Linked DNA regions of Mus musculus. The protein of the gene in region 2 interacts with the protein of the main gene of each other region in a biochemical or structural test. Links are inferred from orthologs where the notes say so. Each region holds a gene or a part of one and is shown on either strand. Other genes may lie near its edges.

Region 1 (10,904 bases), on a different chromosome or scaffold from region 2:
GGCATTCATCTTCGTCTCTGCTTGCTTGCTGGTGCCAAGCACAGTGTGACCACCTCTCCCACATTTCTGCCACCATGTCTTCCTCACCGCGACGGACTGTTTCCCTTCGAACCGTGAGCCGAAATACTCCCTTCCTTCCTGTGGTTACTTACCAAGCAGTCACAGCAATTGGAAGCAATTGGAATCAGTAGAGAAAATTGCTGTCAGAAGAGGGGCCGCTGTTGTGAGGAGCCTGTGCGTGAAGTTCATAGGCCTCCTGAGCTGGTTTCTAGGAGTAACAATGGGAGAGCCCAGAGCTGCTGGCTAGAGAGGCTCGGATACTATAAGCAGAGCATCATGGGCCATTCCGCTGAGAGTTTGGGAGGCCAAGATGCAGAGAAGGGTGAGCGGTGAGTACCGTGCTTATGAGGTTTTCAGAGGACTCTGTGGACTCCATCAGGACCTTGTGTCATACTCTAGCCAAGGACCTAGCTGCATTCTGCCAGATATCCAGAAAAGCTGATTGAGGCTGAATTCAAAAGCAATGGACTGAGCTGTTTAGAATTTTCAAGACAGCACAACAGCCAAGCCGGGGAGGTCAAAGCTGCCCTTCTACACTTCATAAAAGGCTCTCCTCAGCCCCAGCTCCCTGAGAGAGCACAGCCAAGTACCCTCCCTCTCTGGTTTCCACATCCTTAAAGTGCATCAGAAGATATGGGGGAGCAGGCCATGGCATCTCTGGGGTCCCTCCCTGCTCTGACTTCAAGAACTCTGTGTTGGAGCCAGCTTGGTGGGTGCTGTGCATGGTACCCATGAGCTCCGTGGCTCCCTCCCAGGGCTGGCCGCAAGCAGTACAGACTGTCAGGGAGGGGTAGGAGTTGGAGGGTCAGGAAGGACCTTGCTGGCTGGGACCTGTATGGAAAAGCTAAGGCCAGATCCAAGGGCTGGGCTTCTGAACAGAATTCCAGAGGACTCCAATGGCTACTGTGGGAGCCTGAGGGAGAATCATCAGGGGCCCCACCTTTGGCCTTAGGAAACAAGGAAGGAAAAAGGCATACCTCAATACCTGCAATCCTCAACTCACCCTGAAATGATCGGCATACTGCTACCTTCTAGAATGTGGACATTATTCAGAATAACCAACGCCCAGGACTACACCCTGCCCCCCCCAAATCCATGCTCGTCTCTGTTCCCCATCCTGCCTCTGTTTGGGATCTGACCACAGCGGCTATTCACCAGGTGGGCAGAGACTGATATGCTCAAATGAGATAGGCTTTGAAAGCAAGGCGCCGGGCACTGGGCCTGACAGATAAGTGGGTGCCACCACCAGGAGGCCCTGAGCACTTTGTGGGTGTGGGGCAAGGAAGGGACCTTATTTCTGACAACCCTGCCTTAAAAACCATAGTGCCGGTTACAGGGGCTATTGGCATCTGGCAAATCCATACCACAGCTCGGGTGGGAGAGGACCAGAAGAGGGTCTGCCAAACACCAGGGAAGGTAACCTTGGAAGAGGCGACAAGGAGACTGTAAATCTTGAGCTCAGCTAGGTATGGTGAACTCATACCTGTTATCCCAGGCAGGACTGCTTCGAACTCCAAACCAGCCCGGGCTACAGAGCAGGACTGTCTCAAGGCAAAGGTCACCTATGAAGAGCCACAGACCTGAGTCCCACCTTACGTGACCCTCAGGAAGGAAAGAGGGACTTCACACGTACAGTTGCAAATGGAGAAAATGAATAAACAGGTAAACAGGGTTGGAAGCATAAACCAGAATCTCCAGGCCATGGTCAGGAGACTAGTCCTTATACCATGCTCTTCCATGGCCGGCCTGCTCAGACAGCACCTACAGAGAAGTGCACACACACACACTTCCTGGTGTAGGTCTTCTATTCCAGTCATGACCTGGCAGGAACAGCTCCCAGAGCCCTGAGCTCCCAGCCCGTGGATTTGCCTGGCAATTGACTGCCTCATCTCTGGTCTTCTACCTGGAACTCTGCCTGATGTCTTTGTCCTGTTCCTGATGTGGGAGAGGGGCACACACAGTTGGAATAGTAGAGGAACTAACCGGCCAGGGCCCCAACAGTCCCGCCCTGTAACTGAAGTCTGGGGAGGCCTCAGAGGAAAGATTGAAGCTGCTGCGGTTGGGTTCTCTGGTGGTGACTTGAGGGCGGGGCTGGAGATGATGGGGCAGGCCAACCTCACTCCAGATGTGATAGCATCTCCCCTGTGCCCTGCGGGTTTCCCTCTCCTCACATCCTGGGTGGGCTTTCCACATCTGGAGGGAGGAGCTAGAGATGAGCCTGGGAGGAAGAGGCTGGGTAGGGCAAGAGGATTGCTGGCCTGGCCTCCAGATGTGACTCAATGACCCCTTATCGTCACAACTCTTCCAAGATGGTAGCTTCGGAAGGGGAACGGCTACACGGACCCCCTGTTGCCCCGACACCTGATTCCCAGCGTGAGCCAAATACCCCTCTAACTAACCAGAGGTTTTAGGGCAGGAGAGGGGGCTCTGGCAGCCAACCAATGGAGCTGGGCCTCTACACCAATTAAAGAGATAACTAGTTGGTAGAATGCTCACTTAGCACGAGTGAAGGTCTGGTTTAATCCCCAACAAGTCAGTTGTCACAGGCCTGAAATCCCAGAACTTGAGAGGCAGGAGCAGGGGGGTCAGAGGTTTAAGGTCAGCCTTAGCCCAGCAAGCTTGAGGCCGGGCTGTACTGCGTAAGACTCCTGCCTAAAAAGAGGCTAAGGGGACATCAGGTTAACAAACACAAAAGGATTTATTCAATGTGGCCACACTGGGAAAGGGAACAGATCAAGAGTCTCAGTAACCCCAAGTTTGTTTTGGGGTACTAATGTGAGTTGGCTTTTGGAGAGGCCGTTGTTGCTGTTTTAGCTGCTAATTTTTGTTTGGTTATTTGGTTGGTTTGGTTTGGTTTGGTTTGGTTTGGTTTGGTTTGGTTTGGTTTTTAAGACAGGGTTTCTCTCTGTACTCCTGACTATCCAGGAACTTCAATCTGTAAGCCAGACTGTCTTTGAACTCACAGAGAGCTGCCTCTGTCTACATCCTGAATGCTGGGGTCAGAGGTGTGTACCACCACTGCCTGGATAGCTGCTAATTTGTTTTTTTGTTTTTGTGTTTTTGTTTTTGTTTTCCGAGACAGGGTTTCTCTGTGTAGCCCTGGCTGTCCCGGAACTCACTCTGTAGACCAGGCTGGCCTCGAACTCAGAAATCCACCTGCCTCTGCCTCCCAAGTGCTGGGATTAAAGGCATGCACCGCCACTGCCCGTTTTTTGTTTTTTGTTGTTGTTTTGTTTTTTGTTTTGTTTTTTGTTTTTGTTTTTTTTTTGTTTTTTGTTTTTTAGCCAGGGTCTCATGTAGCAGATGAGAATTCCTAATCCTCCTGCCTCATTTTCCCAAGTGCTGGTGTTACAGGCATGAGCCACCATGTAGTTTAAGTTTAAATATTGAAAGAATCAGCACAGATAACAAGAGGTATGCATACCTGGGCTGACTGACTGGCTCTGTACGATGGCTTAAAGAAGTCATATTGCTTAAGGGGATGTGTAAGTTCTAGGGAGAGGGTCACTCCTTCTCCCGGGTGTGCAGTTACCTCAGGAACACTCCGGTGGGGGAGGGGTTGTCCTGCAAGGCTTGGCTCGGCATTTTTGAGACAGTGACTAGTCTTCGTGCCTTTGGCTTAGAAGGGTGATGGTCAGGTCAGGAAGGCGGAGGGAAGCGAGAGCCTGAGCCAAAGGAAGGAGACAGAGATACAAAGACAAAGGCAGAGAGGGCAGACTCACCCTTTCAGTAACCTTCCAGGGCACGGGAGGAATCCAGGCTTTTTGGCAAGAGCAGCTTTGAAGTGCCTGTATTATCACACACCCTCCGCTCTGCTCAGTGAACCTCCCTAAGTCTCTCATGTCACCCCATGACCCTCTGTAGCTCCCCAAGACCCTCAGGTAAAAGACACTGAAACCCTTTACCTGGCCCACAAGACCCTTCATGATCTTTAACGCCCAGCTTTCTCCTACATGGTAAGCAGCTCGTTCCCCAGGCACGGGCTTCTCATCTCCAAGCCTTTGCCCAGTTGGAATGCTGGGTCCTTTCAAATCCCTGCTTCATATGTCAGTCTCTACCCCACCATGGTGAGTGTTTGCCCTGCTCAGTGCCAGTGCGGTGTTATTTCTTAATTCAACGCATAGTCACATTCTATCCAAACCGTGAATTCTGAGAGCAGGGCCTGGGAGGGGCTCATCTTCATGCCCTCTGAGGCCAGCACGGAGCTAGACACACAGTAGGGGCTCAGGAAAATAACTGCTAAATGAATGGGAAGGGATGGCCAAGTCTCTTCTCTAAAAGTGGGAATGAGACCAAGGGGGCACATCTGGCACACCCTGGACTGCCCCGAGGCTTGCCTCTCAGGCCCCGGGGATGTCACAGCCAAGGCACTCAGAACTCTCTGCAGGCCCTGCAGTGGGGTGAAGTCCAAGGTATGAGCCAAGGACACCAGCCTCAGGCCTGGCGCCCAGCCCAGGCTTTCTTTAGCCCTAGTGAGCTGCACTGAGCCGTAGCCACAGTCCTCTGCTTCCGGGGAAAGCCCTGGTGGGGCCTGTGCTTTGTGGTCCTCCTCAGTCCTCCCGCAGAAGCCCACAGTGGGAGTCACAGCGAGAGCCACACCCTGGCCTGCCAGGCGGCAGCCTCTTCAGAGAGCCTTGCTCTAATTCTCTGCAGGCATCTATACACACATCCCCCTCCCCCACCAGCTGCGCTGGGACCTAGGGGCTTTCTCCCTGCTGGCCCCAGGCCCTATCCCGCCAACTCTTAGGTTTAACTCATCCTTAAACTATTTTCCATTGGCTCCCCCAATCTCTGCCACAGCACAAATCTTTTTTTAGTGGAAAGAGGGATGGAGAAGAATAAGAGGCGGCGCCAGGACCCTGAGGGAGGGGCTAGGAGGGGGGGTCTCCTCTCTGACTGGTCACCTCTGCTCCAAAATTGACTTTATAATCCATAGACTCCACTTCTGGTGGCCCCCATCCTTGTCCTGACATGCAATTGGCTGAACTCCCGGGGAGGGGCGGGACTCACCGGGTCTGATCCAGTTAAAAAGGTCGGAGCGGGCCTGGGGCCCGTCTCTCGGGTGGAGTCTTCTGACTGCTGGTGGAGCAGGTCTCAGGAATCTCTTCGCTTCAGCTTCAATCATGGCCTGTGTGAGTGCGGGACCCTCTGTTCCAAGGTCTAGGGGACTGAGCAGAAGCAGATGGGCACAGGAGAGTAGACAATTGGGGACTTGCTTCTGGTCCCAGCTGTGCTGCCTTGGACAGGTGTTTTCTCTGGTCCTCAGTGGCTACATCTGTAAAATGGGGGTGGCTGTCACTGTTCCCCCCTGAAACCTTAAGCGTCTCTGGCTTAAGAATGTTCTGGACTTCTCGTAGTTCTGGCCGCATACCTGCCTTGCAAAGTCCAGTATTCTGCTGCTTTGCCGTTTTCTGAGAAGTGGGAGTGGGAAGGGTGTGGCCACCCGGGGAAAAGGGAGGCAGGGGGACATTTTGGCCAAGGCCATTCCCTGTTCACTCTTCCTCTCCACTCTAGAGTCTCCTGACCCCTCCCCCGCTGCAGCTGTCCCCAGTCACAGGGCCAGGGCTCAGTTGGTCACCCTCTGCTCCAGAAAACTAAAAAAAAAAAAAAAAAAACCCTCCCGGGCCTAAGATAGGCTCCAGGCTGGTCAGTGGAGGCGGGTCAGGGCTGGGCGGAGGAAACTGCATGCATTTGCACAGACAGGCAAGCCCTCAGGTATAGGGTTCAAATGTCAAAGAAACCCCTTGCCCAAATGAACTCCTGTCAACTCACCCAGGTAGGTGCACAGCAGTGCCCTGATATGTACTGGGCTCTCTAGCGTGCTAAGTCCACATTGCCACTCTCGGGCTGCCCAGTCCCACCGCCCCTCAGCCTCTCCGCTCCCTCCCGATGGTGTGCATCTAAGCAGAGAGCCTTGAAGCCGATTGGGGAGGCAAAGGCTGTTTTCTCTATCTCAGAGAAGCAAGGCCTTAGGCTAGTGGTCGCCTAATCCTTCCATCAGCAAAATGAGGATTTAGGAAGTCACACTCCATCTCCCCTCCACTCTAAGTCCAGGTCTCCAAGCTGATGTCTTTTAGGGCTTGTTCTGTAGGACAGTCACAAGTTTGACACCCTGCTGGGAATGAAGTCGTTCCCCATCAACTTACACCCTATCCTGACCAGCCCATCCCACCTCGGGCTTCCCCTAGGGCTGGTCAGGGTACTCCAGGGTGGGAATGACCCCATCCCTACACCCCAGCCCAATGCAGGTAGGTCTAACTCCAACCTAAACACAGCTCGGTGCTCTTGTCTACACAGGGTCTGGTCGCCAGCAACCTGAATCTCAAACCTGGGGAATGTCTCAAAGTTCGGGGAGAGGTGGCCTCGGACGCCAAGAGGTGAGACTGGAGAAAAGAATGGAGCGGGCAGGGGGCCAGGTTCGCAGATTTAGGTTGCGATGGGCGTGGCCGGCCGGAACCGCTCATTCCCCAGCCCGCAGCTGGTTAACGGGCAGCTGCAGATGCTGCGTTTTCTGGGTGAGTCACTTCCTCGCTGGGTCTAGTCGACGTCGCCGTGGTCTCCCCCTCCCTCCCGCCTCCTTTCTCCCGGCTGAAGTTTCTTAAACTAAAGCAGCTGCTGCTTCAACGACTCCGGCTTGCCCCTCCCCTTCCGCGGGGGGGGGGGCGGGGGTGGCGCGAGGGAGCGGGGGAGAGGCGTTGAGGGAGTGGTCACCCACGTGCCTGCTGCCTGAGGGTGCCCTGCAGGGGCTCAATCTTTTTTCCAGAGCTTCCTCCTCATTCATACCGCCCCACCGCCCCCCCCCCCCCGCCCCCAGCAGCCATGTGAGTTTGGACCAGTCACCCAAGCTCACGAGGCCTCGACTTTTTTTTTTCTTTTCTTTTCTTCTCCGAAGACAGGGTCTCCTTATATAGCCCTGGCTAGCATGGAATCTGTGTTGACCAGGCTGGCCTCCACGAAGACCCACATGTCTCGTCTCCCCAGAGCTGGGATAGAAAGTGTGTACTTCCATATTCCACACCCCTAAGAGCCTGGGGTTCCTAATAAAGCCAGAGGGAAAGTGGTGGAGGGGAGAGAGCCAGGGCCAGTTCCATCAAGCAGGCAGCTGCTGCTGTCTGTTGTCTGTTGTTAGTAAGTTCCTGAGCCCTTTCGCCTCTTCCTACCATACCTCCACGGTGAACACCGCTACCAGGCTCCGTGCAACAAACTCCGTATTCTTTTTGTTAGTTTGTTTGTTTTTTTGGTTTTTCAAGACAGGGTTTCTCTGTATAGTCCTGGCTGTCCTGGAACTCACTTTGTAGACCAGGCTGGCCTCGAACTCAGAAATCCACCTGCCTCTGCCTCCCAAGTGCTGGGATTAAAGGCGTGCACCACCACAGCCAGCCAAACTCCATTTTTTTTTTTTTTTTTTTTTGGTTTTTCAAGACAGGGTTTCTCTGTATAGCCCTGGCTGTCCTGGAACTCACTTTGTAGACCAGGCTGGCCTCGAACTCAGAAATCCGCCTGCCTTTGCCTCCCGAGTGCTGGGATTAAAGGCTCAAACTCCGTATTCTTATTTACGCTTCTTCTCCACAGTGAGGGAAAATCTATGGTGTGCCCTGCGCTGTACTCGGCACCAGGGACTCAGATACACAAGACAGATAGGACACCATCTGGAGAATCTCCCCTCTTGACCAAAGGGGTTGACAACTATCAATGTCTGGGAGAGAGCTCCCCTAGTGCGCACACACACACCACCACCACCACCACCACCACCACCACTGTACAGTCAGAGAGAATCTGCAGGGTCTAGCTCAGTTCACATGGTGAGACCAGAAGTAGAATCGAAGTTCCTGGCCTTCCTGTTGCTTGAGTTTCAACATGGCATGTCCATAGCCAGCTGCTGATGTTGCATTTTCTCAGTGAGCTGGGGTCTAGCACCATCCAACATGGCTGAAAGCCCACCTGTCCCCCCCCCCCCTAGCTTTGTGCTGAACCTGGGAAAAGACAGCAACAACCTGTGCCTACACTTCAATCCTCGCTTCAATGCCCATGGAGACGCCAACACCATTGTGTGTAACACCAAGGAAGATGGGACCTGGGGAACCGAACACCGGGAACCTGCCTTCCCCTTCCAGCCCGGGAGCATCACAGAGGTGGGTGGCGCTGGGCAGGGCCCTGGGTGTGCTGGGCAATATGGTCAGAGCCAGAGGCTGACCATTCCCTGCTGTGTGATTACCCTTGAATGGCATCACTCTCTCAACATAATAGACCTCACCTATACAGAACCTGTCCCCGGGGCTCTGAGCTGGTCCAAGGCCCAGCTCACTGCCCTTCTCCATCCACCAGGTGTGCATCACCTTTGACCAGGCTGACCTGACCATCAAGCTGCCAGACGGACATGAATTCAAGTTCCCCAACCGCCTCAACATGGAGGCCATCAACTACATGGCGGCGGATGGAGACTTCAAGATTAAGTGCGTGGCCTTTGAGTGAAGCCAGCCAGCCTGTAGCCCTCAATAAAGGCAGCTGCCTCTGCTCCCCATAATCCAGCCCTTTCATGGGAGAGTGTTTGTGTGTGTCTATGTGAGGGGCCCCGCCCAACCTGGTCCATCTTCACTTCCATTCATGCCTCCATGTGTTCTTGGTCTCAGTGACCTCTCTTGTGCTTTCCAGGCCAAAGAGAGCCCAGCACAGAGAGGGCTTAAGTGACCACAGAGGGTGAGCCAGTGTCCCACTGTGACAGGGACAGAGCAGTGGGAGGTGGATGGATGAACAGCCGGACCGCATTTGTCTTAATAAAAGCCAGAAACCACTGAGCATGATGACACATACTTGAAATTAAGGAGGCTAGACCAGGCACATCGGCATGTGTTCCAGAGCAGTCTGGATAGCCTGGGCGACATAGTGGAGACAGCTTGGGCTAGCTTTATAGTCCTATACCACTAACTTCTTAGGAGACTGAAGCAAGAGGACCACTTAGGACTAGCTCGGCAATATAGTATGACCTCATATAGGTAAGGACTAAAAACTGTTGTATAGCCTTGTGCTTGTTAGCTGGTCTCTCTGAGCCTTAGTTTATCGTTTTATGCATGAGGGATAATATTCAGTTCTCATGAGGGTTGTTGTGGAGTTAAATGAGATTTTGGTGGAGGACTCCAAGTTCTGCTGTGGGTACGTCATGACCAATGCCATTTGGGTAGCTTCTGGTCTTCCTTACACTACTAACTTTTTATGCCTGCAAATGCAAAATGCGTAGGGAGGAAACAGTCTCTGAGGGACAAAATGATCCCTTAGCAGTTGAGCCCAGAGGAAGCAGGCTTACCCTCCTGGAATCAGTGGGCAGCTAGAGGACTAGGCTAGAAGGCGCTAACTCTGTGGCACTCAACAGGTCCCCTCCCTAACAATGGGAATCTGGCATGAGGTCACACTCCTGTAATGTGATTGGGGATTCTGAGTGGGCCCTTTCAGAGACATAAGATGAGGAGTGGGGTGGGAAGGCTGATGGGAGGGCCCAGACGCAGGTCTTCCAGAGGGCAGGTGGCTCACTGGGCTGGCAGAGATGGACGTGCCTGCCTACCACTGCGTGCTTATTCCTGGCTTCCAGGAGGAGGTGTCTTCCAGATCTCAGCTCAGGATCTGCTGCCTTGGGATGGGATGCTGTTCTCAGCTGAAGCCTGTCCCACCCAGCGCAAGCAACTCATGGGCCACCATTGTTCATCTGTACCAGTGTCCCCACTTTACATAAAACAGCTGCAGGAACTGAGCCAAGGTTCTGGAAGGCTTCAGCTATAAGCCTCACTAGGCTCTCCCTCCAACTCTCAAATCTGGGGCATAATATCTTGAGGCTGGGAGGCAGGTGCCTGCAAGATCTCATTTTCTAGGATAGACTGGCACCCTCCTGGTAGGGTCTCTTGCACCCCCGGCCCCCAGCCTCAGTTTTCCCATCCATAGCAGGGTGAAGACTTCATGTTGGTGAGTCCAGGAAGCAGGGGTACCCGTAGGAGAAGGCCAAAGAGAATGGAATACACAAGCCTTGGCCTCCCATGGAAACACACCCCATCACTGCACTTTTCTGAGTCACCCAAGGGTGGCTATGGAGGAGACGCCCTCTGCTGGCCTCAAAGGAAATGTCCCTCAGACTGTCTTCCTGTGTTACCCTACGGGAGCTAAGCACTTGATCTTGAACAAGAAAGGGATGACCTCACAGAGAGGTTGTAAGGCTCACCACAGGGTGGGGCTGGGAGATGCTCAGTGGTAGGAGCATTGACTGCCCTTCCAGAGGACCAGAGTTCAATTCCCAGCACCCACATGGCAGCTTACAGCCATCTTCAATTGTCTCTAACTCCAGTTTCAGATGATGAAACGCTTTCTTCGGACCTGAGGCAAAACACCTATATACATAAAATGAATTACAAATAATAATAGTTAAAAAAAAAAAGCCGGGCAGTGGTGGCATGCGCCTTTAATCCCAGCACTTTGGAGGCAGAGGCAGATGGATTTCTGAGTTCGAGGGTAGCCTGGTCTACAGAGTGAGTTCCAGGACAGCCAGAGCTATACAGAGAAACCCTGTCTCGAAAACCAAAACAACAACAAAAAAACCCAAACAAACAAAAAAGAATTGTACTGGTTGCCAGCTTGATCGTGCACTGTTTTAATCCCTCACTCAGCTGGCAGGGCTCTGTGAGTTCAAGGCCAGTCTGGTCTACATAGTGAGTTCCAGGACACCCAGGGATATGTAGGGAGACTCTGTTGCAAAACAAAACAAACAAACAAAAACAAAACAAAACAAACAAACAAACAAAACCCCGGGAAACTGGAGAGATGGCTCAGCGGTTTAGAGCACTGACTGCTCTTCCAGAGGTCCT
Region 2 (10,617 bases):
GCAGACCCCTGGAAAGTGAATGTTTACATGGCAGGGTGAGGGCCACCCCTTGGGAGGCACCTGCCCACACTCTGGAGCCTCTCTAGCACAGGATTGCTTGCGAGCTGTTGATAACTTCATTTCTCCCCTCAGGAGGATTTTTGTGCTGTACAGCCTTTTAAAGTCCAAATTATTAACTTATTTTTACTAGAGCAGTTTCTTTTCCTGAATAACAGAGTCACCAGACTTCATCACACAGTGACAGTGGAGTTCCCACATGCACTTCCAGGAGCGAGGGACTTGTCCCCACACCCACAGTGGCGACGTGAGCTTTTACAGAAAGAGTCTCAGCATCCCTGGCCTCTGCAACTTCCAAGGGCTGCCATGCTTTCACCCCTCAGCAGTGGTTGAGGGAGGGGCTGCACCTGACTGGAGACCTGCCCTCATTGGCTCCTGGTGGGTGTTTAGCAGCCTTCTCTCTAGGGAGGCCTCACTGTTTTCTGCTGTCCTGTTCTGTCCATGTTCAAAAGAGCCAAGGCAGCAGAGTCAGGCTCAGAGGTCATTCTGCAGGCAGCAGCACCTCACCTGCCTCCGGCACCCTTAGAACAGGACACCGGTACTGCTGTAGGCACAGGGCCCTGATGACCGTCACAAACCCCTTCCACAGGAAGCCACTGCCACTGGGGCCTGACTACCCTCAGTACAGCAGGCTGCTGCTGACTTGTGGTGCTGAGGTCTTCGTGTACTGTTGTGCTGGGAGCTCAGCCAAACCTCCTTGATGTGTGTCAACTGTGTTCGGTTGTGTGATTCTGAGCTGAAAGATGAAATGAGAGAGGTTGAGAGAGACCTGGGCCCCTCGCTGAGGAGCCTTCCACATACCTTCCTTTCCCTGAGCAATGATTGTGTCTTTCCATTGTTTTATAAACAATAAAGTGTCAGGGGAATGTGGTTCTCTTGTCTATGTTGGCTGTTGCCAAGGGCTCTGCCCCAGGAAGTCTAAAGAGGTGGGATGCAAGCCTTGGGGTCATGAAATGGCCCCTCACCTCTCCAAATGAGGCCCAGGAAGTGAAGCCCCGTCTAGGCTTCCCAGGCTTGGGTCTGATGGGAAGAGCTGTACGGAGAGACTGGCTCCAGCCCTTCAGGCTCTGTCCTACTCCATTTTCCCACTCTGGCAATTACTAGAGTCAGGACAGAGCCCGAAGTGCTGGATCCTGAACTACAGCAGACACAATAGGCCAGGCTTGGAATCCCAACCTCCACAGGCCACGACAAGGAATAGTGATGAGTAGAGAAAGATTTGTGGCCACATCAGGCAGTGGGACAAGGAAAAGGTCCAGACTGGGCTAACAAGGAGGCTCAGTGTGAACAGTGCCTGCCACACAAGCCTGACAGACAGAGTGATCCTCAGAACCCATGGTGAAGGAGGGAACTGATGACCCAGAAGCTGGTCTCTTAACCTTCACATGATCCCTGTGGCATCTGTGCTCTTAACACGTGCATGCGTGCACACGCATACATACATACATACATACATACATACATACATACATATACCACATGCACGCACATACACACACACACACACACACACACGCGCGTGTGTGTGTGTGTACACATAGAGGTACAGTGACTCCCACGCCCACCTTTGGGGTCTGCCCATCACTGACCCAGCACTGTGCCTGGTCCTGACTCCTGGGTTGGGCAGGTAGCCTGACAAGTCAGACCATGTGGAATCCTTCCAGGAGACGAATGTCTCCTCTGGCTGGCACAAGCTCCCTTCTCAGGTGTGAGAATCCCTGGGAAAATTCCAGTTTGAGACCTTAGTTGTCTGTAGGCAAGGGGAGGAATGCAGGCGTCTCTCTCTGTCTTCCCTGTCCTCCATTTTCTATGTAGAAGATAGGTCATCCCAAAGCCGCTGTTCAGGGTTGCAGTGGGGGATGTCTTCTGTGGCCAGAGAAATGGAGACTGGGCCTGGTTTCCAAGGCTGGGCATAGGAAGCCACAGGTGCAGAGCAGAAGAGATGAGGTGACGGGAGGGGAGCCCCATGCCTTCCAGGGTTAGACACTTACTCGTTCATTTAGGTTTTTTGAGACAAGGTTTCCCTGTGTAGCCCTGGCTGTCTTAGGACTCACTCTGTAGACCAGGCTGGCCTCAAAACCACAGAGATCTGTGTGCTTTTGGTTCCCAAGTACTGTGATTAAAGGCGTGGCTACCACCAAGCTGGACACTTCTTTCCAATGCTGCTATTCTACTGGGGTCTTTGCAGTTAACAACTGCCTTGGCACTGAGGGTCTGTGACTTGCTGAGCACACAGTGGTAGGATGGGACTTGGCGTCTGCTATAGGTCACTGTGGCCCTGACATCTTCAGGACATTACCCTGAAGAGGTCTTGTGACCCTCAGACCCCTGTGGTTAAAGATAAGCGCAGTTTGGGGGGGGGGACCAGGATGGCCAGGCTGTCATGCATGTCCTGTGTGACTGAAGTGGAAGCAGGGTCACCCGCCTTCATCCCCTCAGAAGTCTCAGATGTGTCACATGCATCACCGAGCAGCTCGAGGGATCTGAATGTTCCCTGGGCCTGACCTCTTGGGAAGTCCCCCTGTGTCACAATGTCTGGGCCCATTAACCACCCATCTGTTGGCTTTGGAGTAGACATAGAACAGTGGTTCTCAGTTTCTAATCCTTTGAGGTTACAGATCAGATACTTTTGCATTGTACTTCATAACAGTAGCAGAATTATAGCTAAAAAGTAGCAATGAAATAATTTTATGGTCCAGAGTCACCACCACATGAAGAATTGTATTAAAGGGTCTCAGCATTAAGAATGATAAGAACCATAGACAATGGGCCTGCTGTGTACTACACACCCTGTGATAGCCCTGTCTCTGTGACCTGGCTTCCTGTCCTCCAGTGGAAGCCAGATCCCAGGCCCTGGTTGACAAAGGGGCTGACCCAGGATGGAGGCACCAGAGACTTGCTGTTTCCTGGAGCCACCGGCCAGTCCAGGTACTGACTCTTCTCCCAGCTCTTGTCTCCAGGGGACACCTCCATCCCCCCTTTCACATTCTCAGCCAACGGTGACAGAAGCCACAGTTCAACAAGCTTGGGCATGTCTGCAGAGTCAGTCCTAGCCCTGCCTGTAGCTCTCAGCAAGGGTTTCCTAGGACTGCATGACCCCTTAGCCAATGGAAACTTCATGTCCAAGGGAAGCAGTCCTTGAGTGTCCAACCCTGAGCTCTGGGGCTCCAAGCTTTTTGCTGATCCCAAAGGAACTGTACCCCAGAACTCCCTTGGGCTTTCAAATACCAGTGCCCCTCCTCCCACAGGCTGATGTGGGCATTGGTGTCTTCACAGGTAATTCTCATGGCCAGCCCAGGTTGAGCTGCACTGACTGAGGACTCCCCAAGTAGAAACCAAGACCTGGGTTTCTTGTGGAGAAAGGGGAATAGGTATAAGCCAGGCAGAGCCTGGTCTGAATCCTAGAGAGTCGGTCACTGTGGCCGTTGGGAGATTGCATTACCAAGTCAGGCGTGTATGGGAGCCAGTGTATCTGCTTACCAGCTATTGCCTGGGTTTGGTCTCCAGGGCCTTGGAGCCTTCCTCTCTGTTGTCATACCTAGGACAAAGAACTCAAGGCACAGGATAAAAGGATTTGCCAGACCAGAACTGGTGTAAAAAAAAAAAAAAAAAGTAGACACCAAGGACAGAAACCCAGCCGGTGAATTCCTGAACCATACACCTGAAAAGGAACAGGGTGATTTTATACCAATTCTGAGTCACCTGGCTTTGCCTCCTGGGCCATTTGTGTCAGACCTTTTGAATAGTGTTCAAGAGGACAGTTGGGTGTCTTGAGGTAGGAAACCTTACAGTGCTGGTGCCAGGGGAGCTGCAGGGAGCTGCTGGGAATTAGGCCACTGTCTAAACATCATAAGTCTGGGGAAATTTGCCTTTGTAATTTTAGTGTATCTTACATGTTTGGAACTTTTGTCTGCATGCATGTATGTGTACCACGTGTGTGCCTGGTGACCATGGAAATCAGGAGAGGGCATTATATCCTTTAGAAATGGCATTATGGGTGACTGTGAACAGCCATGTGGGTGTTTCAAATGGAACCTGGGTCCTTTGCAAGAGCAGCACGTGTTCATAACTACTGAGCCATCTCCCTAGGCCTCTTTGAATTATATATATATATTTTTACATTTATTTACTGTGTGTGTCTACATGCATGTACATACATGCCACGGTACACTTGTGTAGATCAAGACAGCGTACAGGAGTCAGTTTTCTCTTACAGTGAGTCCCAGGGGTCAAATTCATAGCATCAGGATTGGTTACTGCAAGTCCCTTTACCCGCTGAAGCAGTTTTGGTGGTGGTAGTTTTGTTGTTGTTGTTGTTGTTTTAGGATTTTGTTTCGGTTTTGTTTCTGTTTTTGTTTTTTTCCTTTGAGGCAGGCTTTCTCTGTGTAGCCCTGACTAACCTAGGACTCACTATGTAAACCAGACTAGTTTCTAACTCACAAAGATCCACCTGCCTCTGCCTTCCAGCTAAAGGTGTGTTCCACCATGCCCAATTAGCCCTACTTTAAAAAAAAAGGTATTGTAGAAACCTTTTAAGATTTAATTTTTAAAATTATATGTGTGCATGCATGAGCACACTTGGGTGTGGGTGCCTACAGAGTCTGAGCCCCTGAAGCCAGTTACAGGCTATTCTGAGCCAACCAACATGGGTGCTGGGAGTTGAACTCAGGCCTCCCATAAGAGCAGGTGGTGCTCTTAACCACCAAGCCACTCTAGCCCCCAGCCCTGCTTTCTGCTTTTAGCCTTTATATCGCTATTCTTGTCTCTCAGGACCACTCTGTGGCCCACATACCTTCGCTCTGCGCATGGTAGGTTTGTGCATAAGCTAAGGGCAGCCAGCATTCCCAGGTCCAGGAAAGGATAGTCCAGCCCACATCCACATTCACAGACACGGTCTGACCCGAGCTGCTGCTCCTAGGCCCTCTTTCTGTATCTTTCCACTCTCCTTCGCCAGGATGCCTGCCTGGCCAGCCTGGAGATGTATTTGCTCCAACCATCCCCCAAGCTGCCCCACAGGGTGCCTGCCTGGCTAGCCTGGACTTATATTTGTTTCATCAGCTCAGTATATCAGCTCAGCACAGGGCGCTTGGGTGCCTGCCCTCTGCCCCACAGAGCAGCAAGCAGAAGGCTATTAGCCTTGCTGACAGCCAACCCCAGAAGCAGCCTCTGTCATGTGTTTTCTGAAAATCGAAACTAGGTGAGGTTTACAAAGCATTTCCTGGGACGAGGCTGAGGAAAGCCACATGGTGGAGCTTTTCTCTGCTGAACAGTCTACAGAAGGCTTCCAGTTGCAGCCAGGAAGGAGGCTCCAGGACTGCCTTCAGCCACTGCCTCGCTGCCTGAGGGACAGTTGAGTCCCTCTCTTGCTCCCAGGTGAGTCTCCACTCTACACAGCATGATTTCTGGCAGGCCAGAGCACAGGAGCCAATACAGTTGGGCAGGATGTCCACTGAATGAACAGCTGAAGGGGTGAGTGGGTTAGAGTTTATCCCCGGCCCCCTCCTGGGTCTGTAGATTCTCTCCCAGGACTAAACCTACCTACTCAGTGGTACTGAATGAGCCAGCATAGGCAGGCTTGTCCCATCTTCCCACACAAAGGAGTAGGGCAGAAACAGCCTCTGTCATCCAGTGGACAGCAACATCCACATACACTGCAATGTTCCCAAGGCCTAGAGCGCCTGACCCAGCATGGACAAACCTACGACCACAGTTTATAGTAAATGCAGGGAGTGGGCACCCAGTGCAGTTTGCCTGGGACTCAGGTTTCCCAGAGCCCAGGCCTTCTTGGGATAAAACTGGGGTAATGCCTTGCCACACGGATGTGGGACTCTCTGGCTCCCTCCACCTCCACCAGGGTCCTTGTGGTAGAAGGAGGCCACCCCTGGGCAGACCCTAACCTGTGCTCACTGGCTGTGTCATCTGGAGTCAGTTGGCTCTCTAGCTTCGGCTCTCATTAGGGATGTGGGAACTTTGTGAGTTGTATATTGTTCTGGGTCTGTGCTTGACTAGATGCAGAAGTCTGGTGGGAACCAGTTGGGGGGTGGGGGTGGGGTGCACAGAACTAAGGGCCAAGTCCCACCCATCAGTGTGTTATAGGACTCAACGGTCAGAGCTTATGCCCAGAAAGCTCCCCTGATAGCCAGACTCAGCCACCCATCCTCCATGGTCCAATTAAAAACATAACAGTGAAAAGCCGAAAAAGGAGATTTATTTAATGTGGCCACACTAAGAGGAATCCAGTGGCCTCCCCCATTAATGGCCCAGAGTCTATTAGGGGATATTAACATGAGGTTTACATAGAGGTATACATAGCTAACTGGCTTGCCTGGGCTGTAAATCCCAGAGTGAGCTGTTATTTCCTGGAGACAGGCTTCCTCTCTGGCTATCACCAGGCAACAGCCTTCTCCTTTCAGCGTGAGACTCCCGGGGAGTTCCAGTTCTGCTGTTGCTTCCGCAGTCGGATAGCCAAAGCCTATCCTAGGATCTCTTCACCCCTGCCAAGATGGCTACAAGTGCCCTGGCCCCCTGAGGGCTTGCTCGTGCTGCTCTGGTGCAGAATGTCTGGGGTGGGGGTTGGTCGGTGGGAGAGGGCTGGGGAGGGGCCAATCCTGGTGCTTCTACTGGACCTGAAATATCTCTACTGCTTGTCTCTGGGCCCCTGGTCGGAGTAACAATTTGTGGCTTCCAGTTCCTGCCCAGGAGACAGAGCTCTGTAGCACCATCCACTACCAGTCCCAAGCTGCCTGCTGGGCCTAGAACGAGTCCAGAGTCCATTGAGGCTGCTGCATTTTGTTCTGTGGGTTGCCCCGCTCCTTGCAGGGCCTGAGGGACAATGCCTGGGTGGGGCACATCCTACATACAGGCAAGAGTCTAAGTATTGAGTCCTGTGTGTCAGCACCGTGGTGGTTGACCCTGACCCACATCCCCAGGTCACATCATGAAGTCCCAGACCCTTCTACACTGCCTCTGTCACTTCCCCTTGAGAGTTCCAACCTCATCTACAATGTCCTCACAGACTGGCAAATCTTGTCCCCTGCACACCCCAAAGGCAGCTAGCTACTACTTACAGATAAGGCCAGCTAAAGATAAAGAGCTCTTGTTTGCTTCCTGGGTTCTCGTTGCCAGGAGCCCTCAAGCCACTTGCCTCATCTGGGGACTCTTGCTGACCTGAAGGTTGTCCTGCAGAGCATGTGAGAGAGGCCTGCATGAGAGCCATCACATAGCCATCTGGGCCTTACACAAGAGTACCACCCACAACACCATCCCATCCTCTACAAATAGGACAGGGAGCCATGGAACTGCCAGTCTCCTTTGGAGAGCTGTTGCCAGTCTAACTTTGTTGTTCTTTCTGCTGCAGGGTTGGGCTTCTAGGCCAGGCAATGGCTCTCCTGTGGCTCCTCTCTGTGTTCTTGCTGGTTCCAGGGACTCAAGGTGAGTCCTGCCCCACGAAAGGTCCCAAACGCCTTGTTCTGTGGGTTGTCCCCCTCTGCCTTGCAGAAAAGCTGCATGGCAACCTGCAAGGAGCCATGTCTCAGGATTCTCTCCCATGTGGCTCCTCTGTCATTCTAAATGGTGGTGGCGTATGGCCCCTGGTGCTCCCCCGCACCCAAGTGAAATGCAGGTATTGAAGAAGAGGCCAAGAAATTTTTTCTCATCTCATCAGTGGGCCAAGGAGGGAGAGCACAGCCCGTGCTGTCCTGGAGTGTGTGTGGGGGGGTGTCTCAGGGCACAGGTTAGGGTGGCAGAGAGTCCCTGGGGGGGGGGGGCAGTTCACACACTGCACTGTGGGTCTGAGAGCCTTGTCCATCCTGGACCGTCAGCTGAGTATCCCTCTCTAGTATGGGTGACCCCAATTCAAGCGCCCAGCTGGCCCTGTGAGCATGGGCAGAGACGGGAGTTCCAGAGAAAGGAGAGCAGGACTGTCCTGGCTGCCTGTGCCACAGTGCAGACTGTCTCCAGTCCAGGATTGTCCGCTTTAGGCAACCACTGTAGGGGTGAGGTGGGAACTGTATGTGCGAGTTGGGACCAGCGCTGTGTACCCCACTCCTCTTACAATGGGACCCCACACCACAGCTCCCTCGGCCCCACACTTTGGAGGGAACAAGGAACATTGCAATGTCCCGTTGCTAAGTGGGGACAGTCCAGAGACTCCAAGGATGAGACAGTTGGCATTGAGTTGTCAGGACATCACCCATCATAAGCCGAGGTGAATCTGCTTTCTGCCTGTGTCTAGGAACCCAGGACCCACCTTCCCCCTCAGGCCAGTGTTCCAGAGAGCCAGCAAGGAACCTCTTCGAGTTCACTCTGTAGGCTGAGAGCCAGGGTGCCCTCTTGGAGCAAAAGACCCAGAGCTGAGAGATAGAAAGACCATGGATGGCCTCTGTGAGGTCATCAGAGCTTTCACCCCTTCTTAGTGGGCACACACACACACACACACACACACACACACACGGCACACGGGGAGGGCGTTTTGAAGTGGTTCAAGAGCAACTCCAGAATGTTAGTGAGCACAGAGCATTGAATTCATGGGGAGTGAACATCAAACCAGGCTAGCCCTCTTCCCAGCTGACCTCCCCTCTCCCGACAGGTACAGAAGATGGAGACATGCGCTTGGTTAACGGGGCCTCAGCCAATGAGGGCCGCGTGGAGATCTTCTACAGAGGCCGGTGGGGGACAGTGTGTGACAACCTCTGGAACCTTTTGGATGCCCACGTCGTCTGCCGGGCCCTGGGCTATGAGAACGCCACCCAAGCACTGGGCAGAGCTGCCTTCGGGCCAGGTGTGGCTGAGGTCCCTGAGTAATGTTCTTTAAGCATCCCATCCTGAGCTGGTGATCAGCCCCGGTCCCCGCTGAAGGTCCGGTTCCTCCTCCAGTGTGGCCCCTGGCTTTCCTTTTGTGCCCACAGGAAAGGGACCGATCATGCTGGATGAGGTGGAATGTACAGGGACCGAGTCCTCACTGGCCAGTTGCAGATCCCTGGGTTGGATGGTGAGCCGCTGTGGGCACGAGAAGGACGCAGGCGTGGTCTGCTCCAACGGTGAGCTGCCCTGCCCTCCCAGCACCTAGGGGAAGTGGCAGCCGTGCCCCTGCCTATACCAACACCCCTGTGTAAATAGTCAAAAGTGGCACCCTGGATGTGGCTGGGAGCCCACATCCTCCAAGAGAGCCCCCGTGTTACACACGTCAGAGAAGCTCCTCGATCAGGGCAGTGGGTTATGGGTAAGGGACTGTATCCCATGTACAAACAGCACTGTGTGCTGGAGGGGTGGCTCTCTAAGGACCGGTGTCTTATGGTTATTATGCTCAGGCATATTGCATAGCACCGCCCCCCCACAGGCTGTGCGTGATGACGTAGTGATTCTCGCTGGCTATGTTCAAGGACACTGGTGCCCGAAGCCCTAACCTGCCAAACCCCGACTCTGCCACAACTCTTCATCTCCAGTGCCTGAGGCCCGTGGGAGCTTTCCTTCCTGGCTGCCATCTGTGACTTCCTCCTGGGAGGTGGGGGTGGTCCTGGGACATGCCCTTCTGTCCTGAGTTGGAGAACTGAGGCCTGAGGGTGTCGAATCCCACAATGTCAGACAGGCTTGGGTATAAGTTGATCTGAGTTGGAGGGTCTCAGACCGGAGGAGCCTCGTGAGTATGACCAAGCTGTGCAGGCATCTGGGAGGCCCCACTGGCTGGGGAACAGTGTGAAACGAGACCCAAGGGGAAGCTAGGAGGGACTGGGGCTGTGGTGTGAGAAGACACAGGAGCCAGTCCACCCACTCCAAATGTAAAAATCAAGCCAAACCTTTACAGAGCAATGCATGGTGTGGTATGTGGTTTTGGATTAGGCTTTGGGAGGCAGGGAAAGATGGGGATGCACCGAGACATGCCATACCCCTTCAGGACTTGTCCCCTTGGGACTGGGAACCCTCAAGTTTTAATGTAAAGTTGCAATGGGACCCTAACTTGAAAGGCTGTTCATTGGGCATAGGAGGGTGGCCTCTGCAGTTACTGGAGGTTTGTGAAGAGTAGGCACAGCCTTAGGGTTGGTGTCTCCTCTAGAGGAAGTGCCTGAGTGTGGGGTACAGAGAGCCAGCTGCTGTCTTGTGGGGTTCAGAAGGCAGCTGCAGCCTCCCTTCAGGCCTCTCCCATTCTGCATCTTTCCACAAGGCCTCTGGGCAGAGCCAGGTACCAGGATGTCTGGTTCAGATGAGGATCCTGACTCCTGGTGGGGGTGTGTGGGGGTATCAAATGGGACTCAAACTCACAGAGAAAATGATCCACAAAGCCCATGCCTCACACAGCAACCGCCTCTGTCCATCCCAGATACCACGGGGCTTCACATCCTGGACCTCTCTGGAGAGCTCTCAGATGCACTGGGCCAGATCTTTGACAGCCAGCAGGGCTGCGACCTATTCATCCAGGTGACAGGGCAGGGGTATGAGGACCTGAGCCTCTGTGCCCACACGCTGATCCTGCGCACCAACCCCGAGGCCCAGGCCCTGTGGCAAGTGGTGGGCAGCAGCGTCATCATGAGAGTGGATGCTGAGTGCATGCCTGTCGTCAGAGAC
Region 3 (10,104 bases), on a different chromosome or scaffold from region 2:
AGGTGAGCTCCCTACAGTAACACTAGAAGCTGATGTCTGTGATCTAGACCCAACAGTGATTCTTTGGGTATTCTGAATAACTCAGGAGCAGTTGGGGAATGTGACCGTAGTGATTGGGTCCACTGGTTCTAGTTCTCCCGTGGACAGAGATTGTCATCTCTGTCACACAAGCACTTTTTCCCCATGAATTTGTTAGGGTGTTTGTGGGTTCACACAGTTCTTTTTCTGTTTACTATTTGACCCAGAATCAGTTTTGAGTTGTCAGTACATGTAGTCTACATGTCAGTATTGTAGGCTACATTACTAGTGTTACTGGAACTAAATTATCTAGTGCAATAACCCTCAATTGTTAATGTTAACTCTATAGTCTGCGCTATGTTGGAACAGGTTATATAAATATATATTTTGAGAAGAACATACACATATAACCCTCATACATATGAGAGTATTTACTGTGAGACAAGTTATACCATGTGATGGGACACCAAACTTAGAGCATCTCTCTAAGCCATGTGGAAAGAAGAGTGGCTTGGGACAGTGCTTCCCACGCAGAACCAGAGGAGGGAGGTTGGCTGGAGGAATGAATGTAAACCTATATGTAAACCTATCAAAGCTGTGTCCATCTGGTGACAGAATGTGACTCCCATTCCTTTACCAAGTACAAACTGATACAGAGGAATTCATAGCTTCCTTCTGTTTGTTTTTGTTTTTGAGATAAACTCATGCTATATATAGCTCAGGCTGTCTTTGAACTTAGAATCTTCCTGTTTCCATCTCCTATAAGCTAGGATGTTGGGTATCCACCTCCATAGCCAATCCTGTACTTAAAAATTCTTGAATAAACCTGTATGTCTGGCTGGAATGTCTACCTTTGGTCCATAAGACTTAGAGACAGACTCACTAGTGGTTACAGGAGTGTTTGTAGCACTACTAAGCTCAGGGACAGGGGAAATGGATTGCTGGGGACATTCAGCTTCTTCATATTATATGTAAGTATGACTGGAAGCAATCATTCCATCCAGACATCCCAAGGTGACTATATATTGGCATGGATATCCCACATTACCTCACTGTAACCTGGTCTACCTCAGCTAAACCTGTTCCAGGGCAGAGGTTGATTGGATGAAATCTTTACAGCTATGTGGTGGTTTGAATAGGTTTGGCCTCCATAGAGTCATGTGTTTGAATGGGCCCATAGAAAGTGAGTGACACTATTGGGAGGTGTGGCCTTGTTGCAGGAAGTATGTCAATGTGGGGACAGGCTTTGAAATTTCCTATGCTCAAGCTACATCCAGTAACATAGCATACAGATCCAGAAGTAGAACTCTTGGCTCCTCCAACACTATGTCTGCTGGCCCTCTGCCATATTTCCCACCATGATGATAATGGACTAAACCTCTGAAACTATAAGGAAGCCACAATTAAATGTTTTCCTTAATAAGAGTTGCCATCTTCTCAAGCCGGGTGTGGTGGTGCATGCCTTTAATCCCAGCACTTAGGAGGCAGAGGCAGGTGGATTTCTGAGTTCGAGGCCAGCCTGGTCTACAGAGTGAGTTCCAGGACAGCCAGGGCTACACAGAGAAACCTTGTCTCGAAAAACCCACAAAAAATTTTAAAAAAAGGTTTGCCATCTTCTCAAACCCTTTAAGTAAATAACAACTACCCAGAAGGCTGGGCTTCCTAGCTTGCCATTCTGTAAATATAAGACCTGAGCCTCAGTTTTATTTGTCTAAAGAGGAAGTAATGGTGTGATCTTAGTTAGGGTCTCCATTGCTGTGAAGAGACACCATAACTGAGGCAACTCATATAAAGGACAACATTTGGTTGGGGCTGGGTTACAGGTTCAGCGGATCAGCCCATTATCATCCAGGTGAGAACATGGCAGCATCCAGACAGGCATGGTGCAGGAGGAGCTGAGAGTTTTACATCTTCATCTGAAGGCTGCTATCAGAATACTGACATCCAGGCAGCTAGGACTAGGGTATCAACGCCTATGCCCACAGTGACACACTATTCCAACAAGGCTATACCTCCTAATAGTGCTACTCCCTGGGCCAAGTGTATTCAAACCACCACAAACAGCCCTCACCCTGCACTCATGACAATGAAAGCATATGACATACACCAAAACACAGAGTAGAGGATGTTACCATTCACTCTGTAACATCCCAACAAAAAATGACATACGATCAAGTACTGATTATGAGATAGTCCATGTGATAGCCCAGCTTGGATTCAACTGTGTAACTTATAAAATTTTCTTAATTAAGATAGTCTTTATTTCAAAACCATTCAACAGATGGGTTGTTGGGGTCACCCTTGTACCTGTTTGCGTTGGGTTTCACTGTGCCCATGATTGTGATCAGCATGCGGGGCATGACTCCTCCAGGCAAGGGCAGGTCATAGGGCACCGTCTGGGACACACAAGCATTCCAGGGTCAGTAAGGCACTATGCTCTCTTGGGGAATGTAAAGTACATTGCAAACATTGGTACAATGCAGTGACCAACACAGAACCCTGTGTAGATTCTGAGACCACCTTGTCCAGGGCCTAAAGAAGTGGAAGGTAGAGAGTGCTCCCTATGTACACAAAAGTTAATTGAGAAATTAACAAATTAACAACCAAATGTTCTTGGACCATCAGTTGGGCCCATTTCAACCCATAATTCATTCATACGGACTCATTTTTTTTAACATTTTAAGCTAGATGGTTGACCAACAATCTTTTTATGCACGGGGTCCCTGGGTCCTTTGACACATGACATACAGCACTGTAATTCAGCTATCTAAGGAAAGGTTTGTGTCACCTGGGGCTTCTGTGCTTGCAGGTCACCAACAAAATGCTTAGCACACAAGTCTGTGTTGAATGAGCACTTCTACAGTTCATTCCACAAGTGTTGAGCAAAGTGCTTAAGGTGTGGTAGACATCCCCAGAGCGCTGTCCCTGCCTCTGGTCTCTCCTTTATGAAGTTTCCTCCTAGGTTCTGCTGTCTCCCAAACTCCCATCTCTTGCTCTGATCTGCATTTGACCTTATATATACTTCCTGGAGTTGCTCCCAGTGGGTGGGTAAACTGGAAGGCTCCTTGCATGGGTATGAGATGGAGGAGTCTCCCCTACCCCATCATTTTCCTTTTCTGCATCCCTGGTTTGAGCTAAAGCTTTGCAGCTTTGAAAGCTCTCAGTATTTACTGGGGTTATAAGAATAAGCCACCGAACTCAGTTAGTGTTTATTAATAATACAGCTTTGCCTCATAGTGTAATTGTTTTTTTAAATAGGATCTCTATGTAGACCAGATTGGCCTCATATTTATAAAGACACTTCTGCCTCTGTTTCCTAAAGGTGTGCACCACTCATTATTACTACAATCTTAACTTGATTTATATTAAAGCACCTTTATCAATGTCTTATCATAACAAGTCACAGAGTAAACTCAATATGAACACATTCCTTTTCCCACTTGACTAATTACACCCCTGTGGTTGGCCCTTAAGACATGGCTCTAAGCAGCAGGCTTAAATCCCTCCCCCCCACCCCCCACCAATGTCCCCTCCACTTGTACAGCAAGCCCATTGAAACAACTTCCTTCTTACCAGTGGTCCAGCGGGGACACCATAAGGGCCAGCAGCAGGATAGCCTCCAGGAGCACTGGGGTAGGCCCCAGGTGCCCCAGGTTGCCCTGGGAAGGCTCCAGGGGCAGTTGAGCCAGGATAAGCTCCAGGGGCAGTTGGGCCAGGATAAGCTCCAGGGGCAGTTGGGCCGGGGTAGGCACTAGGAGGAGCCTGTCCTGGGTAGGCCCCTGGAGGAGCCTGTCCTGGGTAGGCCCCTGGAGGAGCTTGTCCTGGGTAGGCCCCAGGATAAGCAGCCCCTGGGTAGCCCCCTGCCCCAGGCTGGTTCCCCCATGCACCCGGATATCCTTGAGGGTTTGGGTTTCCAGAGCCAGCTAAGGCATCGTTAAGCTATAAAGAAAGACAAACAATTAGAGGATGGGACTCCTTCACTACACAGAACTTAGGGGACTACAGGCATTTGTGATCTAAGAAGCTGGGACATGGGAGAAGATTCACACTCTTCCCTCGCCTATTGTGCTGTTTTGAGTTTGATCCTCTGCTGTCTTGTATCATGTCTTGTTCTGGCCTCTCATCATGGCATATCAGGGTGGGTTAAGCTCTTCTAGCTTACACCAGGAACTGGCTGGTTATAAACACATGCTTTCTAACCGACATGAGAAATAGCTGCAGGTGTTGGCATGAGCAGACCATGCCATTGGTCCTGCTGCTTCCAGGAGGGACATCCCTGTTACAGAGGCCATACCTCTCCCTGGAATCTGCTGCTAGAAAAGCAAAGCTACCACTAACAGGCCAAGGGTCAGGAGGAGGGTCAAAGGGAAAGTTCGGTGGTAGAAATGAAACCTTCTAACTCATGCGAGTATGTATGGGGCTAAGGAAACAGACATGAAATACTTACCGAAAAGCTGTCTGCCATTTTCCTAAGAGAGAAAAGCCAAAGGGGGTTGGTTATTGGTATTCGAGCCTAAAACAATTTACAAGCTTCATGAGATGAAACATCCCAAATAGTTCATGGGCAATTCCAGTCAGTGTACAATCATTTTGCCTAAGTCAATGATGCTGGACTGTAAAAACATCTTGTGGACAGGCGCAGATACATTATAGCTAAATTCCAAACCCACTTAGGTTGTGAAGTCAGACCTTGATGTCAGGAGCTTGTGTTCTGAAGCCAGAGAGCAAAAGACCTAGAGGGCCAAGGAGTAGGTTGAGAATGTCCTGTCTCTTCTCTCGGTGAAAGATGGTACAAGGTACAGCTTCTCTTGGCTACCTGCTTCCCTGAGTTTCTCTACCCTTGCAAGGATTCATGGGAAGTATAGCCCTCTTCCCAGCCACAGCGCTTCTGGGACATGAGAGGAAAGCTATCTGTTGGTTCCTACTGAGATCTCAAAGACAGCTGACATGGCTGCTGCCTGGTTATTTAGCCTCCACTGGCACACCTGTTGCCTGCTCTGAGCTATCACTTTCCACACAATCACAGGGCCCACAGACCAGCAAGGGACATGAGATGTATGAGCACAAAGAGTATGGTCAGTGCTGCCTGACTCTACTGGGACGTTCAAATCTGAGAGCTTGCTGGTGAGCTGGGAAGCGCATCCTGACCTTGAACTTATGATCCTCCTGCCTCAGCATCTCAAGTGTTGGCTGTGGTGCCTGCGTTTTTTTTTTGTTTTTTGGGTTTTTTTTTTTTGTTTGTTTGTTTTTTGAGATACTCGATGTTCCAAATACAACAGCAGTAAATCAGCCAAACAAAGGTGAGTTGGGCGGCAATGTGAACAGAAGCAACTGCATTCAGGATACTGCCAAACAGGTTTGCCTTACACAAAGCTGTCTCAGGACTGGTTTGCAGACATACCCTGTTTCCCTCCGGCGTTTGCTCCTGTGCCACACCTACAAAACCACAAGATGCTTGGAACTGCCCCACTTTTCAACAGATCCCTCAGAGTGCAGCAGAGAGCAGCTTTGGTTTGGAAACTTTTCTTTCTTAGGTTTCTGGGGATTAAATTAACAGCATCGGCATATTTGGCAAACGGTCTAGCACTAGGTAATTCAAGCAGCCATGGGAGGGTAGCTTTGGACGGGGGGGGGGGGGGGGGAGTGGGGGATGGCCGGTCGAGGTGGGGGTTGGATCAGAGCTCAGAATGACTACATCATTTTGCTACTGTGAGAATTACCTGGATCTGGAAGTAATCAGACTCTTCTGACTTCGTCTGCCCACCGGTGATGTTTTACTCAATTTCCCCAAGAACTAACATGATTAGGTGAGCGTAGTGTGGCGTGCCTGTGAGCTCAGCATGCTGTAGCGTGAGAACTCCCATGAGGTTGAGGTCAGCCTGAACCACACCAAAGCTCCGGGGTCTCAATCTAGCCTTGAGCACTTACAGCAGCCCCCCTTCCTCAGCCTCCCAGTGGCCGGGATCAAAGGCAAGAGCCACAGTTCCTGGCTTCAGAATTTCCTTAAGAAGATCAAACCTAGGCTGGGCAAAATGGCACCCAGCACTCAGAAGGCAGAGGCAGGCAGATCTCTGTTAGTTTGAGGCCAGCTCTGATCTATAGAGCAGGTTCCAGACCAGCCAGCGATATGTAGTGAGATCCTGTTAAGAAATAGGTTTGAGGTTCAGAGTGGGCAGAGAACTTAGCACTTCTGAGAAACCTTTTCGCACCCCTTCAGCAATATCTCTGGCTTCAAGCCATTAGATGCCAGTGGCACACTACCCTATAACTTACGACAACCCCAAATGTTTTCAAACATGGGCAAATTGCTAAGGCCAAAACCACATATAGTTGAAAACTACCAATCCAGGCTGTTAATATCTATCCCTAGATAAATGCACATACAAGGGGCCACAAAACCAACAAAGAGTTTCAGTCCTTCAAAGTAGCAAAGTTTACAAGGAAGGATGCTCACCGCCTGCCACCTCAGGTCTAGGGAGACTGAGGCAAGAGGAGCAGAAATGTGGAGCCTGTCTGAGCTGCACGGGCAGACTCTTTCAAAAACAAGAGCAATCTGTTGCTGGGAGTGGTGCTGCACACCTCTAATCCTAGCACTCAAAAGGCTGAGGCAGGAGGATTGAGTTTACCATTAACCTATGCTACATAGCAAGACTGTCTCCAAAAACTAACCAACGAACGCTGCTCCCTAAAGACATCCCTTTCCCTCCTAAGTATGCTACAGTTTTAAAAGACTGGCCCATTTTCCAATGTGACCCAATGAAACCCTAGAGGCAGCAGACTTCACTGTGACGCACGTGGGCCTTGGATGACACTTTGGACAGCTATGTGACACATTCCACAGGATGTCGCGATAGTGACACCCTCCTAGCACTTGTAGAGTGATTTCCAGTTCCCAAAGAACTTCCACGGAGCTGTTTTTGATTTTGTTAGCAATCTGGTGACACTGGCTGGAGAAAACATCCCACTGTGAAGTGAGGGATCTGAGAGCTGATTCGGTGGCCAGAAGCCATCTCACTGGCATCTTGGGGACAAGGTTCCAAAGTTTCCTGACTCCTAATTCAGGTTTGTCCTATACTAGTTTAAAAGTGTACGTTTTTGATGTTTTAAAATAGACTCCTTTGAAATTTTTAGTTACTTCCCTGAAAAATTCTCTGGCTTGTTCATCCAGAACTACATAGCATGCTGAAATAGTAAACAGATTTAAAAATAAAATAGAGCTTTGGCCAGAACACTAACTCGGTGAATCATTCAACACACAGGCTGCTGAGTACAGAATGCTTTTGTGCACAGTCACATTGTTAAGAAAAACCACATTTTAACCAATAAATTGTGGTTTTCCAAAAAAAAGTATTCATTGTTTTTAGCTGTTGTTTTTTTATTGTATTTACTTATTAAACATAGATTTTTTTTTAATTGAGGTGTGTGTACTGTGAATGTTTATGTGTCTATTGCAGTGAAGATTTAGTCTTTGGCTATTGAGAGAGCTAGGCAAATAGGCATCTGAATCATAAATAAGACTCACCTAGGACACTTGAGCTCACTGGCAGGAAGTAAGAAGTTCGCTTATATATTTTAAGACAGGTCTTATTCTTTGGCCCAGTTTGGCTTAGAATTCTAAATGTAGCCTATGCTGGCCTTGTACCTGAGGTACTCTGGGTTCTGCCTCCTGAATGTTGGAATGACAGGCACTTACGCCCACACCCACCTAAGGAACAGTTCTTTGGAAAGCATCTGAGCATATTCAGGATGCAGAGGCAGGAGGGTGTCATAGACCCAGGCCTGCCTGATGTATGGAGTTCCAGCCAGGGCTGCCTGTGAGACCCCATCTCGAAAAATGATGAACAAATGCTTTTGATCCAGTGAACTATCTCATTGATTGAGAACCCTTGAATAGACTCATTCTACGGAAAAATGATCAATTTTTCCAGTCAACCCTCAAGCAATTCTCTACCTCTTCTGCTTTGTGTACAATTTAGTGAGCCATCCATTAAATACTTCTTAGCTTAAGCCTGAAAGACCTCATCCATGTCCTCCCCAGAAGATGGAGTAAGTGCAGATTTTAAACCAAACTCCTAAACATTCTGAATTTAGGAGGCTAGTCTCCATCACAGATAACTATGACTATCTCAGGGGAAAAGGCTAGGGTAAAGATGGCTGGTCCACATCTGTAATCCCAGTCCTCGGGAAACCATGGGAGAAAGAGTAGCATAGGTTCAAGGCCAGCCTGAACTCTGTACTGAGTATGAGGCCAACCAAGGTTATATTGTAAGACCCTATCTCAAGAAACAAGCAAAACAAAGCAAAAATGATCAGTGACCAAGAAGGAGACAATTACTAGGTGTGGTTGTACTGGCCTGGAAAATCACAAGTTCTAAACCAGCCCTGTCTGAACAAAAAAACTAGCATTCTTTCAGATGGGCACTGCCTCCCCCCCCCACCACCACCAAAGACTGTTGTTGCAGACAAGCAAGGCTTTTGTTATTAAACTTCAAGTTTTATGGAAACAGTTGGGGGTGGTAGTTTACACTGTTAGCCCCTGCACTTGGGAGACTGAGACAGGATTGAATATTGAAAGCCAGCCTGGGCTACATAGTAAGTTCCAGTCCTGCCTAGGCTGCAGTGGCAGCCTGTCTCCCTGGGATGGTTTGTATATGCTCGGCCAGGGAGTGGCACTAACTGAAGGTGTGGCCCTGTTGGAGTAGGTGTGTCACTGTGGGTGTGGGCTTTAAGACCCTCATCCTAGCTGCCTGGAAGCCAGTCTTCCACTAGCAGCCTTCAGATGAAGATGTAGAACTCTCAGCTCCTCCTGCACCATGCCTGCCTGGACGCTGCTATGCTCTTGCCTTGAGGATTATTGACTGAAGCTCTGAACCTGTGAGCCACCCCCACCACAATTAAATGTTGACCTTTATAAGAGCTGCCTTGGTCATGGTGTCTGTTCACAGCAATAAAACCCTAACTAAGATACTTCCCCTGCCCCCAAAGGTAAATAAATAAAAATACGGAACTATAAACTTGAAGCAAACATCTTGGAATTTCAGAAAGTGATAGTTTTTACACACTGGTTTCTGTTCTTTTCCTCAGAATTAGCCGGGTCACTAAGTCCAAATGTTCTCATTATCCAGAAACCCTACTCCCCGGGGGTCGCTTTATAAATATTCCAATTTCTTCAAATAGGAATCACTTGCTTCCCTGCTAGGGTTAGCCGGAATCCTAAGCCTCAGTCTCAACTCCCCCTCCCCACCCATTCCCGTCCCATCCTCGATTCCCTGCAATAGTGCTTGAGTAACATAATTCAGCATAAATGCAACCTTTGAAAGCCTCTCGCTAAGGGTCTGCACTCTGAGACCAACACGGCCACACCCAAGACTTCCTCCACCCAGATCTAGAGGTTATTGCACAAATAACCACACTGGTCACGAATGAGTCACTTGGCTTACAAAAAAATGTTAGAGGTTACAGTAGTTCTTCATCCCGACACATGCGCACTAGGGCTTGGGCAGCACTGTCCTGTGCGGTCAAGCACGCAGCGGGTGGCTATAGCCCCTACCTCCGCTGAACCTGGTGGAACTCACTGGCACCACACAGCAAGATCTCTAGTGGAAGGCTTCCACGTGCACCAAAGGAGCCTGCTGGAATTCCTCCAGGAGTCAGGAATCCTGGGCGATGTCTTTTGAGTCTCCAAACTCCCACCCCCACCCCCAACGTGCCAGAAGAGGCACCTGATCCCTATGGCCAAGCTAGGGGCCAGCTACAAGGTGGATCTCCGTAGGTTGTGGCTCACTCTAACGCAGGGCTTCGAAGGAGTGCCCAGGGCCCGCTGGCATCCCGCCATCCCAAAGAGACTTAGTATGTAGGTCGTGAATAACTTTCTCCGAGAGTTACCCGCAGGAGAGCCAAGGCGGTAGACCAGCGCCTGGGACCCTGAAGGTCACCTCCGTCCATCTCCCGGGAGCCCAGCCCTTTCTTGGTGCACTGAGCAGCACCGGTCCCCGCGCCCCGCGCCGCTCACCTGGGTAGTGCTCTCTGTGCCGCTCACCTGATTAGTGCTCCACCCGCCGCTCCGCTAGCTGTCAGAGCTGGGCG

What was found.
Region 1: the proteins of Lgals3bp (region 2) and Lgals1 form a complex in vitro, tested with the Homo sapiens proteins (2 studies listed by BioGRID). The link is inferred for Mus musculus from reciprocal best matches to the Homo sapiens genes LGALS3BP and LGALS1.
Region 3: the proteins of Lgals3bp (region 2) and Lgals3 form a complex in vitro, tested with the Homo sapiens proteins (4 studies listed by BioGRID). The link is inferred for Mus musculus from reciprocal best matches to the Homo sapiens genes LGALS3BP and LGALS3.

Annotation. Positions count from the first base shown.
Region 1 is NC_000081.6:78,921,613-78,932,516, forward strand, and holds Lgals1 (galectin-1), read left to right. Parts: upstream 1-5,112; 5' UTR 5,113-5,183; coding exon 5,184-5,192; exon of another isoform or gene 5,193-5,335; intron 5,336-5,431; exon of another isoform or gene 5,432-6,357; coding exon 6,358-6,437; intron 6,438-8,020; coding exon 8,021-8,192; intron 8,193-8,385; coding exon 8,386-8,532; 3' UTR 8,533-8,853; downstream 8,854-10,904. UniProt on the Homo sapiens protein: Lectin that binds beta-galactoside and a wide array of complex carbohydrates. Plays a role in regulating apoptosis, cell proliferation and cell differentiation. Inhibits CD45 protein phosphatase activity and therefore the dephosphorylation of Lyn kinase.
Region 2 is NC_000077.6:118,396,599-118,407,215, reverse strand, and holds the start of Lgals3bp (galectin-3-binding protein precursor), read left to right. Parts: upstream 1-5,256; 5' UTR 5,257-5,430; intron 5,431-7,414; 5' UTR 7,415-7,436; coding exon 7,437-7,488; intron 7,489-8,644; coding exon 8,645-8,836; intron 8,837-8,963; coding exon 8,964-9,095; intron 9,096-10,372; coding exon 10,373-10,617.
Region 3 is NC_000080.6:47,373,906-47,384,009, reverse strand, and holds part of Lgals3 (galectin-3), read right to left. Parts: 5' UTR 10,058-10,104; exon of another isoform or gene 10,031-10,057; intron 4,488-10,030; 5' UTR 4,484-4,487; coding exon 4,466-4,483; intron 3,958-4,465; coding exon 3,592-3,957; intron 2,415-3,591; coding exon 2,326-2,414; intron 1-2,325. UniProt on the Homo sapiens protein: Galactose-specific lectin which binds IgE. May mediate with the alpha-3, beta-1 integrin the stimulation by CSPG4 of endothelial cells migration.